2 linked regions of the Oryctolagus cuniculus genome follow. The protein of the gene in region 1 purifies or fractionates together with the protein of each later gene. This does not show direct contact. Links are inferred from orthologs where the notes say so. Each region holds a gene or a part of one and is shown on either strand. Other genes may lie near its edges.

What was found. The genes of interacting proteins can lie anywhere in the genome.
Region 2: the proteins of ARID1A (region 1) and BCL7A purify together in Homo sapiens (affinity purification with mass spectrometry; 5 studies listed by BioGRID and IntAct, counting the BioPlex papers as one, with this or other methods). This does not show direct contact. The link is inferred for Oryctolagus cuniculus from reciprocal best matches to the Homo sapiens genes ARID1A and BCL7A.

The regions. Positions count from the first base shown.
Region 1 is NC_091438.1:144,719,840-144,724,162, forward strand, and holds part of ARID1A (AT-rich interactive domain-containing protein 1A), read right to left. Parts: intron 2,126-4,323; coding exon 392-2,125; 3' UTR 1-391. UniProt on the Homo sapiens protein: Involved in transcriptional activation and repression of select genes by chromatin remodeling (alteration of DNA-nucleosome topology).
Region 2 is NC_091452.1:7,064,574-7,070,836, reverse strand, and holds the start of BCL7A (B-cell CLL/lymphoma 7 protein family member A), read left to right. Parts: upstream 1-2,679; 5' UTR 2,680-3,114; coding exon 3,115-3,206; intron 3,207-6,263.

The DNA of each region.
Region 1 (4,323 bases):
TTAACCATTAAAAACAGTTATGAAATGTGGCATCCCGTTGATGCAAGGACCGGGAAAGCCAGTTTTATTTTATTTTTTTCCCCAAACTCACTGTAAACAACAGTAACTTTGGTTAAAATAAAAAAAGTCTTCTATGTAGGCAGAGCTTTGTCTTTTCAAATAGGGTGGGGTCCTGAGGGGTTTAAGGTGAGGGCAAGGAACAGAAAGGTGGGGGTGGGGGGCAGGGGAGGAGGAGGTAAGAGAACAGGAGAGACTTTTTTCCCCAGGGAGAAGCTGGACAGCACAGGGTAAACTGGATTCTGAGGTGGTTTTGCATAAATAAAGGGCAACAGTCAGTTTCTAAGTTTTCCACACACGCACACACACACAGGGGGGAGGTGTCCCACGGCTGTCATGACTGGCCAATCAGAAACAGTACATCACAAATGACCTGTGAAACCAGTGAGTTCATCAACGGTGACACCGAGATGTCCAACAGCCGTGACTCGTACAGCGTGAACTCCGAGTGGTTCTCATCAACCTTGGCCAGGGCGAGCAGCGCGCGGGCAGCCCGCCGCATCATGTCCACGCTCGTTGGCTCAAAGGGCGGGTTCTGCATGTGGAGGAGGCTGGCCTGGCTCTGCTGGAACTGGGTGGCAGCGAGGCTGTCCTCCAGGAAGCCCAGGAGGTTGCCGATGCTGCCCTTCTGCACGGCGATGGCGCGGGCTGCCAGGCTGTCCCCCTGCGCCAGGTTGGCCAGCAGTACCACGGCCATCTCCCGGCACACCGGGTTCTTTCGGTCACTGAGGAAGCGCACCATGGTGCTATACAATTTCTCCAGGCGGCTGAAGGGGGGTGTGGCCAGGATCAGGTCCACATTGTTGTCCTGGATGCTGAGTTTGCTGAGGGTTTCCAAGACCAGTCTCTGGGGGGAGAGGACGGCATTGGGGCCCAGGGTGGAGAAGGGGTCCTGGGCTTCAGCTGAAGGGCAAACTGCCCAGTGCAGGAGTCCGTCCAGGACAGGCAGGCAAATGCTCTCGGGGTATGGGGAGAGGTCCAACTGCCCCGAGATGTTGGCGAGTGTGACCAAGGTGTTTTCCCGGAGCATCTCCAAGCAGTCCCACCACCACTCCACTTTGTTACAGCTCACCCCTTGGTCCTGTTCCTCCTCCTTCTCGTAAGTTAGTGGTGCCTGCTTCCGTTCTGGGTGCTTGTGGTGCAGCAGGATCAGCTTGCCCAGGATGAGCAGCAGCCCTGGGTGTTTAGACATCTCAAAGTCGTTGCCTGGCACAAACGACAGGCTTCGGATAGTATTGGAGACACAGACGCAGCGCTTGGCAAGGGAATCCTGCCAGTCGAGAAGGGTGCACAGTGGGGTCTCATCCTTACTGTGGGGCTCGTCCTCTAGGATCTTGATGTTCCGGTGGCTCTGTGCTGGGCTAATGCCGAATGGAAACTTGCTGCTTTCCTTGGTGGCCTCTGCACTCTTGGCTCCCTCCTCGGTCAGCGTGCTGGACCGTGTGGACAGCATGTCATCCATAGTAGCTGTGATCCGTTTCTCGGGGGGGCCATCAGGTGGGGGCCCCTCCTGTTCTGCTGTCCCAGGCGTACCCTCTACTGTTGTGACATGTTTCCGGGGCGCCGCAGGGCAGGGGGCATGAGGCCGTGAAGGCAGCAGCTCCGTCTTGCTCTCAAAGTGGGTCTGAATGTGCTCGGTGGTGTCCCCCCCGCCGATCCGCCAGTGGAGCAGGCCGCTGTCAAACTCCTGCACGCGCCCAAGCTTGTCTGAGCAGTCCACCACAAACGGGTCGTTCTTCTGTGCGACCTTCACCGGAAGTCTGTCAAACTTGCTCATCAGCTTCTCCTCGTTATTCTCCGAGGCCGGCCTGTCCTTGCCTGAAAAGGCCAGCTCCTCATCATTTTCAGCAACTTCCTCCTCGTCTTCCTCCTCTAGTTTAGGACCTAGAAGTTCTTCGTCGTCCTCGTCCCCCTCCATGGGGGCTGGACTAGACACCTTGCTGAATCTCCCAGGGTCCAGTAGTGTTCTCTGTCCTGGGTCACCCACCTCATACTCCTTTAAAATGCCAAAGATCTCGATCAGGCATCGTCGGAAATATTCCACAAGGAGCTCTAGTAACCCTGGGAGCTAGAAGAGAAAGAACAGGAAGTAAATTAAGGGAGAACAATGTCCTACAAAGAGAATCCTTGACGTGAGACACCCCCTGACGCGGCTTCCCCTCCCCTTTCCTTTGAGGTCATGTGACTATCACGGGGAGGGCAGAGCTGCTCCCTTCCCGAGGCTTTCCACAGCGCAGGCTGTTTATCTTAGTCCCCCAGGCCTCCCGCCCACACCACCTGCACACTCGCCTGCCTCCAGTGGCAGGGAAACGCCAGCCAGCAGCACCGCACCTCACCCGCCAGAGCCTCCCGTCTCTGTCTCTGTTTCCCAACCACTCTTTTGCTTTTCTTCATCAGGCTGGTTTTCCTACTCAATGGACACCACAACTGTCTTTCCTGTGACACTCGCCACAGGCCACTACCAAGTTGAGCCCAAGCTACACAGCACAGAGGGATGATCTCCTTCAACAGGAGCTAAGAGAAGAGAGTGCAGTGTGGACAGACGTATGTACGCTCCTCTCCAAACTCCCCGACGTTCCAGGAGGTACACCTCCATGAACCTTGCAGTGGGATAAGGCTTCAGCTCTAAACGCTGGTCTGAGCCAATGCTAAGGAGACCCAAATTCCAGCTTGGATCTTTTATACAGGCCATACACCTCTAAAAGAAAACATTAATCTCCAGTCAAATTACTCTTTGGCTGCAGCAGAGTGGAAAAAAATACAGGCTTTTGGATCAGAAAGATCTAAGTTTGAAATCTGTTTTTTCCAGGAACTAGCTAGCTGTATGAAATGATCAATATTCCTAAAAGTTTACAAGGGTTGCTCTGAGGTCGAATGGAATATGTTAAACGCCTGGCACATGGAAATTGCTCCATCAGAATTGTTCCTTTACTTTCTCATGGGGAGCGATATCATACAATGAGAATCAAGTCAGGCTTTGGAATCGGAAGTATCCCACTGGGCAGGATGAGACTGAGTTCATTTACTATTTACTACATGGCCTGCTCTGAGGATGACACGAAACAAATTATTAATGGTCTGCCAAAAAGTGAGGGCACAGTAAGCAGTCACCACCAGTAACAATGCCCCATCAGCTCCCTGATCAACAAGATGGTAGGTACTAAAGACTATCAAAACAAAGAGTAGGATGGTGCAGCACAAACTCTTCCCAGCTACTGGGAAAACTCAAGGTGCACGTGCTGGTCTGCAGAATCAAATGTGCAAGCACCTTTCAGAAACGGACAAAAGCATGGGGTGTGGGAGGAAGTGGGCAGCAGCTGGGCACAGTGGTTATGCTCCATCTGGGATGCCCACACCCACAGCCCACAGTGAAGTGCCTGGTTTGAGTCCCAACTCTGCTTCCCATCCAGCTTCCTGCGACTGCACCCTGGGAGGCAGCAGGGATGGCTTAAGTACTTGGGTTCCTGCTACCCACAGGGGAGGCTCGGATGGAGGCTCCAGGTCTCCCAGCTTCAGCCTGGCCCAGCCCCGGCTATTGTGGAATCTGGGGAATGAATCAGCAGATAGATGACGTCTATCTGTCTTTGTCCCTCTGCTTTTCAAGTAAAATGAAAGCAAAGATGATCATTTAAAACAAGCAGCTCCTAAAAAACAAACAAACAAACAAAGGGCCGGCGCTGCGGCTCACTAGGCTAATCCTCTGCCCGAGGTGCCGGTTCTGTCCCGGTTGCTCCTCTTCCAGTCCAGCTCTCTGCTGTGGCCCGGGAGTGCAGTGGAGGATGGCCCAAGTCCTTGGGCCCTGCACCCCATGGGAGACCAGGGGGAGGCACCTGACTCCTGGCTTCGGATAGGCGCAGCGCGCCAGCCGCAATGCACTGGCTGTGTGGCTACTTGGGGGGATGAACCAACGGAAGGAACACCTTTCTCTCTGTCTCTCTCCTGGCATCAACAAAGACCTCTTCTGCTCAAGAGGAGAAGCGAGAGAGGGAAAAGCAGGGAAATTGCTCTGCTCAGTTCTGCTCAGGTCTAGAAAATATGGCATCCTCACCAACATCAAGTTTTTCTTTAACCAATACCAGTAATTGTCTCTTACATAGAATACACAAATTGTTACTGCTCTCAATGTCCTGAGCCAGTGTCCAGTGGCAAGAGAAACAGCAGCATACCAGCAAGAAGATGGCTGAGAGAGGCAGGCCACATGGGCTGGCATCTGCTTCATCCCCGTACCATTTAGTATTAACCTGTGTGAAGAGGACCTTGGGCCCT
Region 2 (6,263 bases), on another chromosome or scaffold:
GCAGAACCTGGCAGAAACAAATGGAAATCATCTCTAGGGGAAATACATTTTAAATACAATTTGGGCATATAACAAGTAAGTATGACACCATGAGCGAGAACTAGGAAAACAGACCCTTAGATCCTTCATGTATTAGAATCATCAGGGGCTGGTGCTGTGGCATAACGGGTAAATCCACCTCCTGCAGTGCTGGCGGTCCATACAGGTGTCCGTTTGAGTCCCAGCTTCTTCACTTCCAATCCAGATCCCTGCTTATGTGCCTGGGAAAGCAGTGGAGGATGGCCCAAGTCCTTGGGCCCCTGTACCCACATGGGAGACCTGGAGGAAGTTCTAGGCTCCTGGCTTCAGATCAGCCCAGATTTGGCTGTTGTCTCTGCTTCTCTGTAACTCTACCTTTCAAATAAATCTTTTTTTTTTTTTTTAAATCATCAGACACAGATTATAAAACAACTGTACTTTGAACAAAAGTTTGAAAGATATAGAGGACAGGGAACTCTTAAAATGACATGATATTTATAAAGAACATTTGTAGAAAGCTTTATGCTTTAATCAGGGATTAAAAACACAAATGCCTTCAGGGAGCAGACAGGTAACACCAATGAGCCAATAGGCTGTGTGGGCACACGGTGCACTGGACAGCTCTGTGTGAGGCCGAGCTCCTCGGCTAAGGCTGTTTGTGCTACGTGACATCAGTCACCCAGGCTGCAGACCTGTTCTCTACAGAAGTTTGGTGTTTGGGTTCCTTTTTAAGGTGGTCAAATGCACATAGCATAAAACTGATCTTCATAGCCATTTTATTTTTTATTTGATGCACACAAACACACACGGAGCTCCCACCCAGCGGTTCACTCCCCAAGTGCCTGCAATGGCTAGGGTGCGGCCAAGCTGAAGCCAGGAACTGGAAGCTCAGGGAGAGCTCCCACCTGAGTGTCAGGAACCCAACTTGAGCTGTCACTGCTGCCTCCTAGAATACACTGGCAGGAAGCTGGAGTCGGGAGCTAGAGCCAGAGCCAAGAATCAAACCCAGGCATCCAACGTGTGACCTGGCATCTCACCTGCCAGGCTAAGTGCAGCCATGTCGAGGTATGCGATTCAGCAGCATTGAGTACCTTCACTGTCATGCAACTCTTACTGCTACTCTGTTCCAGAACCATTTTACCACCCACAAAATGAACCCCCAGGCCCGTAGCTGTCCCTCCCCATTGCCCCCTCCCTTCAGCATCTCCCCCCCCCCCCCCGTTTGCTGTTGCAGTGTTCGTGAGCAGTAAGTGGAATCAGATAATACTCATCCTTTGGGGCTGGCGCTTTCACTTGGCATGTCTTCACATGTCGCCATGGAGCATGGGGCCACGTTCCTTTCAGCGTGGATTCTTTCCCTCTATGGCTGAATAGTTTGCCACCATGTGGAAATACACACCCATTTCATCAGTTGATGCTTGGGTTTCTGACATGGTATCTTTCTATTTTAGTTTCAAACACATATTTCAAAGCTCTGCATGGCCCAAAGCACGTATCTGTTGGCCACATTTGTCAGGGGGCCTCTGACTTAGGACCTGCCCTTACATACATGTATTTTCCCATATAATTCTCAGGATGACTTGAGGTCATAAGCAGCTATATTTCAGGATGCTAAGAAGAAATGCCCAAGAAACGGCCTGCAGTCTCTCACCCCATTTCCCAAGTAGCTCGCCCCCCACAAATAAACTGGGAGCAGAGTGGATTGGGGGGGCAGCGGGTTGAGCCACCACTTGCTACACCCACATCCCTTCCGAGTGCTGGTGCAAGTCCTGGCTGCCTCCCTGAGCGATCCAGCGCCCTTCTAATGTGCCTGGGAGAGCAGAGGAAGACGATCCCAGTACTTGGAGCCCGGGTACCTGCGGTGAGACCCGGATGGAGTTCCAGGTTCCTGGCTTCCTTGTGGCCATCTGGGGAGTGAACCAGTGGGGGAAGATCCCTCTCTCCTTCTTCCTCGCTCTCGCGAACTCTGCATTTCAAACAAATATTTTTTTAAAACGGAGGAAACTCGAGTTTCCCATACTATAGTACCTACGGCTGCAACCTTGAACTTCTCCAGGACTCGGTGTCCCGCGTGCGAAGTGCGTGACGCTGGGCGGGTTTACCTCCAGCCAGCACTGGGGCCACTCGGTCTCCCGGACCGGCAGACTTTACATCTGGTCCAGGGAGCATCGCCGCATCCGAACACCTGGGTGACCCTGATCCGTGTCGTCCACAGCGCTCCGTTCTTCCGGATGGGGAGGGAACTCCGCTCGCAAGTCCTTGTAGGTGGGACCAGTCCATGTTTACCCGCTAGGGTCACTGGAGCGGCCGCTGCGGCGGGCCCGAGCCTGGTCCTACCTGCAGGAGGGCGACTTGTGGCCCCTCGCCCTGTTACGCCAGGGCCACTTCTCCCCGAGGGAAAGGAAGAGTCCCTGCTACCAGGAACCTTTTTTTTTTTTTTTTTTTTTTTTTAAACAAGCCTCGTTTTCCAAAAGGGCGCAGCACGGGGAGGCGCCGGCCCGAGGCCGCGCGTTAAACAGGGCAGCGGCTGCACAGAGACCCGCGCTTCCCGACTCTCTCCAGGATCACCGCGCGTACGGAACCGCTGCCGCAACTCCAAGAAGTCAGGAGCCCCACAGGAAAACTTGCATTACTGCACCCGCTGCCACGCACCCGGGCCCGGACCGGGCCGCCCCGCGGGCTCCGCAGGAATGCGCCGTCTCCGGGGGTCCCCGCCCGCACCTGCGGCCTCCCACGGAGCGACCGCGCGCCCCCGCGAGCCCGGAGCCCGGGACCACTGGGAGCCTCCGGCCTTCTCCCGGGGAGAGGCCCGGCGCCTCCCCGGGTGGAAGGCGGCTGCGGCGGCGCCTGGAGGCCGCGCTGCTCCCCCGCTCGGTGCAGCTGCCGCCCGGCGCGTGCGCACTGGGCCCGGCGCGGCGGCGGCGGCGGCGGCGGCGGCGGCGGCGGCTTTGTGTGCGCGCGTGTGTGTGCGCGGGCGCGCGGGTGTGTGAGCGCCGTGTGTGCCGGCGGCCGCGGGCGGGCGCGAGTGTGGCCGCCGCCGAGCGCCAGCAGGACCCGGCGGGCGCGCTCCCCAGCCTCTCCGTCCCCGCCAGAACCATGTCGGGCAGGTCGGTTCGAGCTGAGACCAGGAGCCGGGCCAAAGATGATATCAAGAGGGTCATGGCGGCTATCGAGAAAGTGCGCAAATGGTAAGCAGAGGCGCCGTCTCGCCCGCTCGCGGCTCGGCGCCGCAGCCTCCGGGAGCCCGGAGCCGGCGCGGAGAGCCGCGGGCGCAGCGCCCCGGGCCGCCCGGCCGGCCGCGGGCCCGCGAGTTGGCGAGGGCGGGCGGCGCGCGAGCCGGGTCACCTGCGCCCGGCGGGGGCCGCGGCCGCTGCCCAGGTGCGCTCGCGCCTGTCGCCCACCTGGCGGCGGCAGCCTGAGGGCGGCGGGCGCCCCGGGCCGGGCGGCCAGAGCGGCGGGCAGCCCCCCGCCGCGGCGCCCGGCCGCCGGGAGGGGGGCTCGGGGCCGGCCCCAGAAGCCATTTCGTTTTGTGCAAGTCACATGAAAGCGGCTTCCCGCGCGCCGGGGCCGCGATGCCGGCGGCTGCGTTGGGGAGAGCGCGAGCTCCATTGTGCAGGCACCGAGCGGGCCGCCGCCGCCTCCCCGCGCGCCCCGGCCCGCGCCGGGCCTCCCGCCCCGCCGCCCGCCCAGGCCCGGCGCCCTCGAGTCTGCGGAGTTTGCAGAGCGCGAGCCGTTTAAATTTAGCGCTTTGGGCTGCCTGGAGCTAGGGCTGCGGCGGGGCGGCAGGACGGGGGCGAGCGCCGGGCGCCCGCTCTCCGGGGCCGGGGCCGGATCCCGGGCCGCGTCCGCCGCTGCCCCGCGGCTCGCGTCTGTTTTGCGGAGGGAGCCGTTGTTTTGTTCTCCGCGCGGGGGGCGGCGAGGGTCGCCGTGGGCCGGGAGTGCTCCCCAGGCTCGGATTCGGCCCGGCGCGGCCAGGCCCGCTTGTCACGGGGCAGGATCGTGCGTTCTGCCGGCCTCGTGGGGGTCCGCTTTGCGGCCCCGGGGCCAGGCCCCGGGCGCCAGGTTGGGTCGGACTTGTTGGAAACTCCCAGCTCCCCGATTGCAACTTTATCGTTTTTTTTTTTTCCCACGGCTTCACCCGGGTCCGGGAGGGAGAGGAGCAGCAGTGTCAGCGCCCCCGGGGCCAGTAGTCCTTACCCGCAACCCCCCTCCACCTTTTTTAAAAGTCCAGAGCCTGAGCAGGCCCCACCGAGGTGCGCTCCCACTTGGGGGGTGTTATTTCTGGAGCCAGCCTGGGGCTCTGCAGCAGCACTGGGGCCAGCCCCGGCTCTGAGGGTGTCACAAGTTAGCCGTCCTTTCTGAGTCAAATCCAACAAAAAGGCAAGAGGGAAATCAATAAAGTCCACGTGCTCCCGGGCCTCCTATGGAAGGGCTGCGGCGCGGATGGCCGAGTGCCCGGCCGTGGGCTGGGCTTGGCTGCAGTGGGACAAAGAATTTTCAGAACCGTGAGAAGGGGAGGTTCTCCAAAGTTGAGATCCAAGCCGTGGGTGCCACAGGGGCTCCCCTGGCCCGCAGGGCACCTGGTGCCGTTGAAACGGTGGCAGAAACAGCTGCAGGCCAGAAGGCAAACCCCGGGAAACCACCACAGCCCCCCCTCTCCTTAGAAGTCCCAGGGGGAGGCTGGAGGTGTCCCCCTCCCCGTCTCAGCCCCTGTGCCTGGCGCTCCTTCTGTGCGCAGCCTGAGGTTAGGAGGGGGTCGTGCCAGCTGCCTCTCTGCTCAGGGAGGCGTGGTGGGGCCTCCTGCCCCAGGTTCCCAGCCGGGCAGACTCCTGCACCCTGACAGCTGCGCCCAGGCTGCCAGCTGCTCTTCGGCGCGGGCAGACGGAGGAGGGAGGGGGCCAGAGCAGTGGCCTGCAAGCTTCTGTCTTGCCCAGGCCACTGTGGGCCAGGCCTGGGGTTGGGAGGGGGCGGCTGCCCCCTTGCCTGTCCCTGGAGACCTCAGGCTTCCTTGCTGTGACCTTGGGTGCACCATGCAGCTTCTCTCACGGACCAGAAGGCCCGCGGCTTCCTCTGGCTGTTGGGAACCAGTGAGGTCACATGTCCAGCCACACCTGGCCCTGTGCACTGGAGTACCTGGTAAACGTTATCTGAGGTGCACTTTGGAGAAACTTGGCTCCCTCCCCCCCTTTTTTTGTTTTGATTTTTATTTATTTGAAAGGCAGTGAGACAGATTTTCCATCCTCTGATTCACTCCCCAAATGCCCACGGCACCCAGGGATGGGCCATGCCGAAGCCAAGAGCCAGGGATTCAATCCAGGTCTCGCACATGGGCGGCAGGGACCCAAGTGCTTGAGCCATCACCTGCTGCCTCCCAGGGTGTGCATCAGCAGGAAGCAGGATTGGAAGCAGAGCTAGAACTCAACCCTGGGACTGCAAACGTCCTAAGTGGCGGCACCAAATGTCTGCCCATTTTTTTCCCCTTTTAGGCAAAAAGCCTTGTCTTTATTGTGTGGTTCTCCCGCCCCTGAGTGGCCAGTCTGGCAATCAGTGGCCACTGTGCCTTCTGAATGGGCCATCGTGTCAGCCCTGGGGCTTTTGGGTTGTTTATTAACAGCACGCTTTTCCCCTGGGGCTGGGTTCCCCAGTCCCTGAGGTTGCCCAATTTAGCAGACAAAAATACAAGACACCCAGGTAAATGTGAATTTCAAATGAATAACAAAATGACTTTTAGAAATAGATGTGTTTTTTTTTAGCATAAGTATGTCCCATGCAGTATTTGGGACATACTCAGACTAAAAGAAGCACGTCCTGTGTCCCACCAAGAGGCGAGCTGGGAGGTCTGGCAGGCTGTGAGCCTAGGCTGTTGTTTCTGCACAGCCCCAGGGAACCCTAAAGCTACCCTTCTGCTGCCCCTCCCTGTTCACTGCCCCAGGAAACAGCCGGCAGCCAGCTGTGTGCTCCCTGAGTCGAGCTTTAGGCCTGAGCTGGTGGAGAGTCAGGTGGCCGGAAGATGGCTGGGGGACAGACAGGATGTTGGGCCCCCTCTGGACCACTGGGCAGGGTTGGAGAAGAGAAGGAAGTGCGGGAGTTGTCGGCTGGGACATAAGGGCTTCAGCTGTGAAGGGAGCTGGGCTGTAGTCCCGGGGTCCCGGGAGAGGCCTGCTCCCAGGGGACTCTGGGGGAGGTGGACGTTGGACTGTGCCTGGGGTTTTGCCTCCACTTCTCCAGGGGCTCCTTCCTCCCAG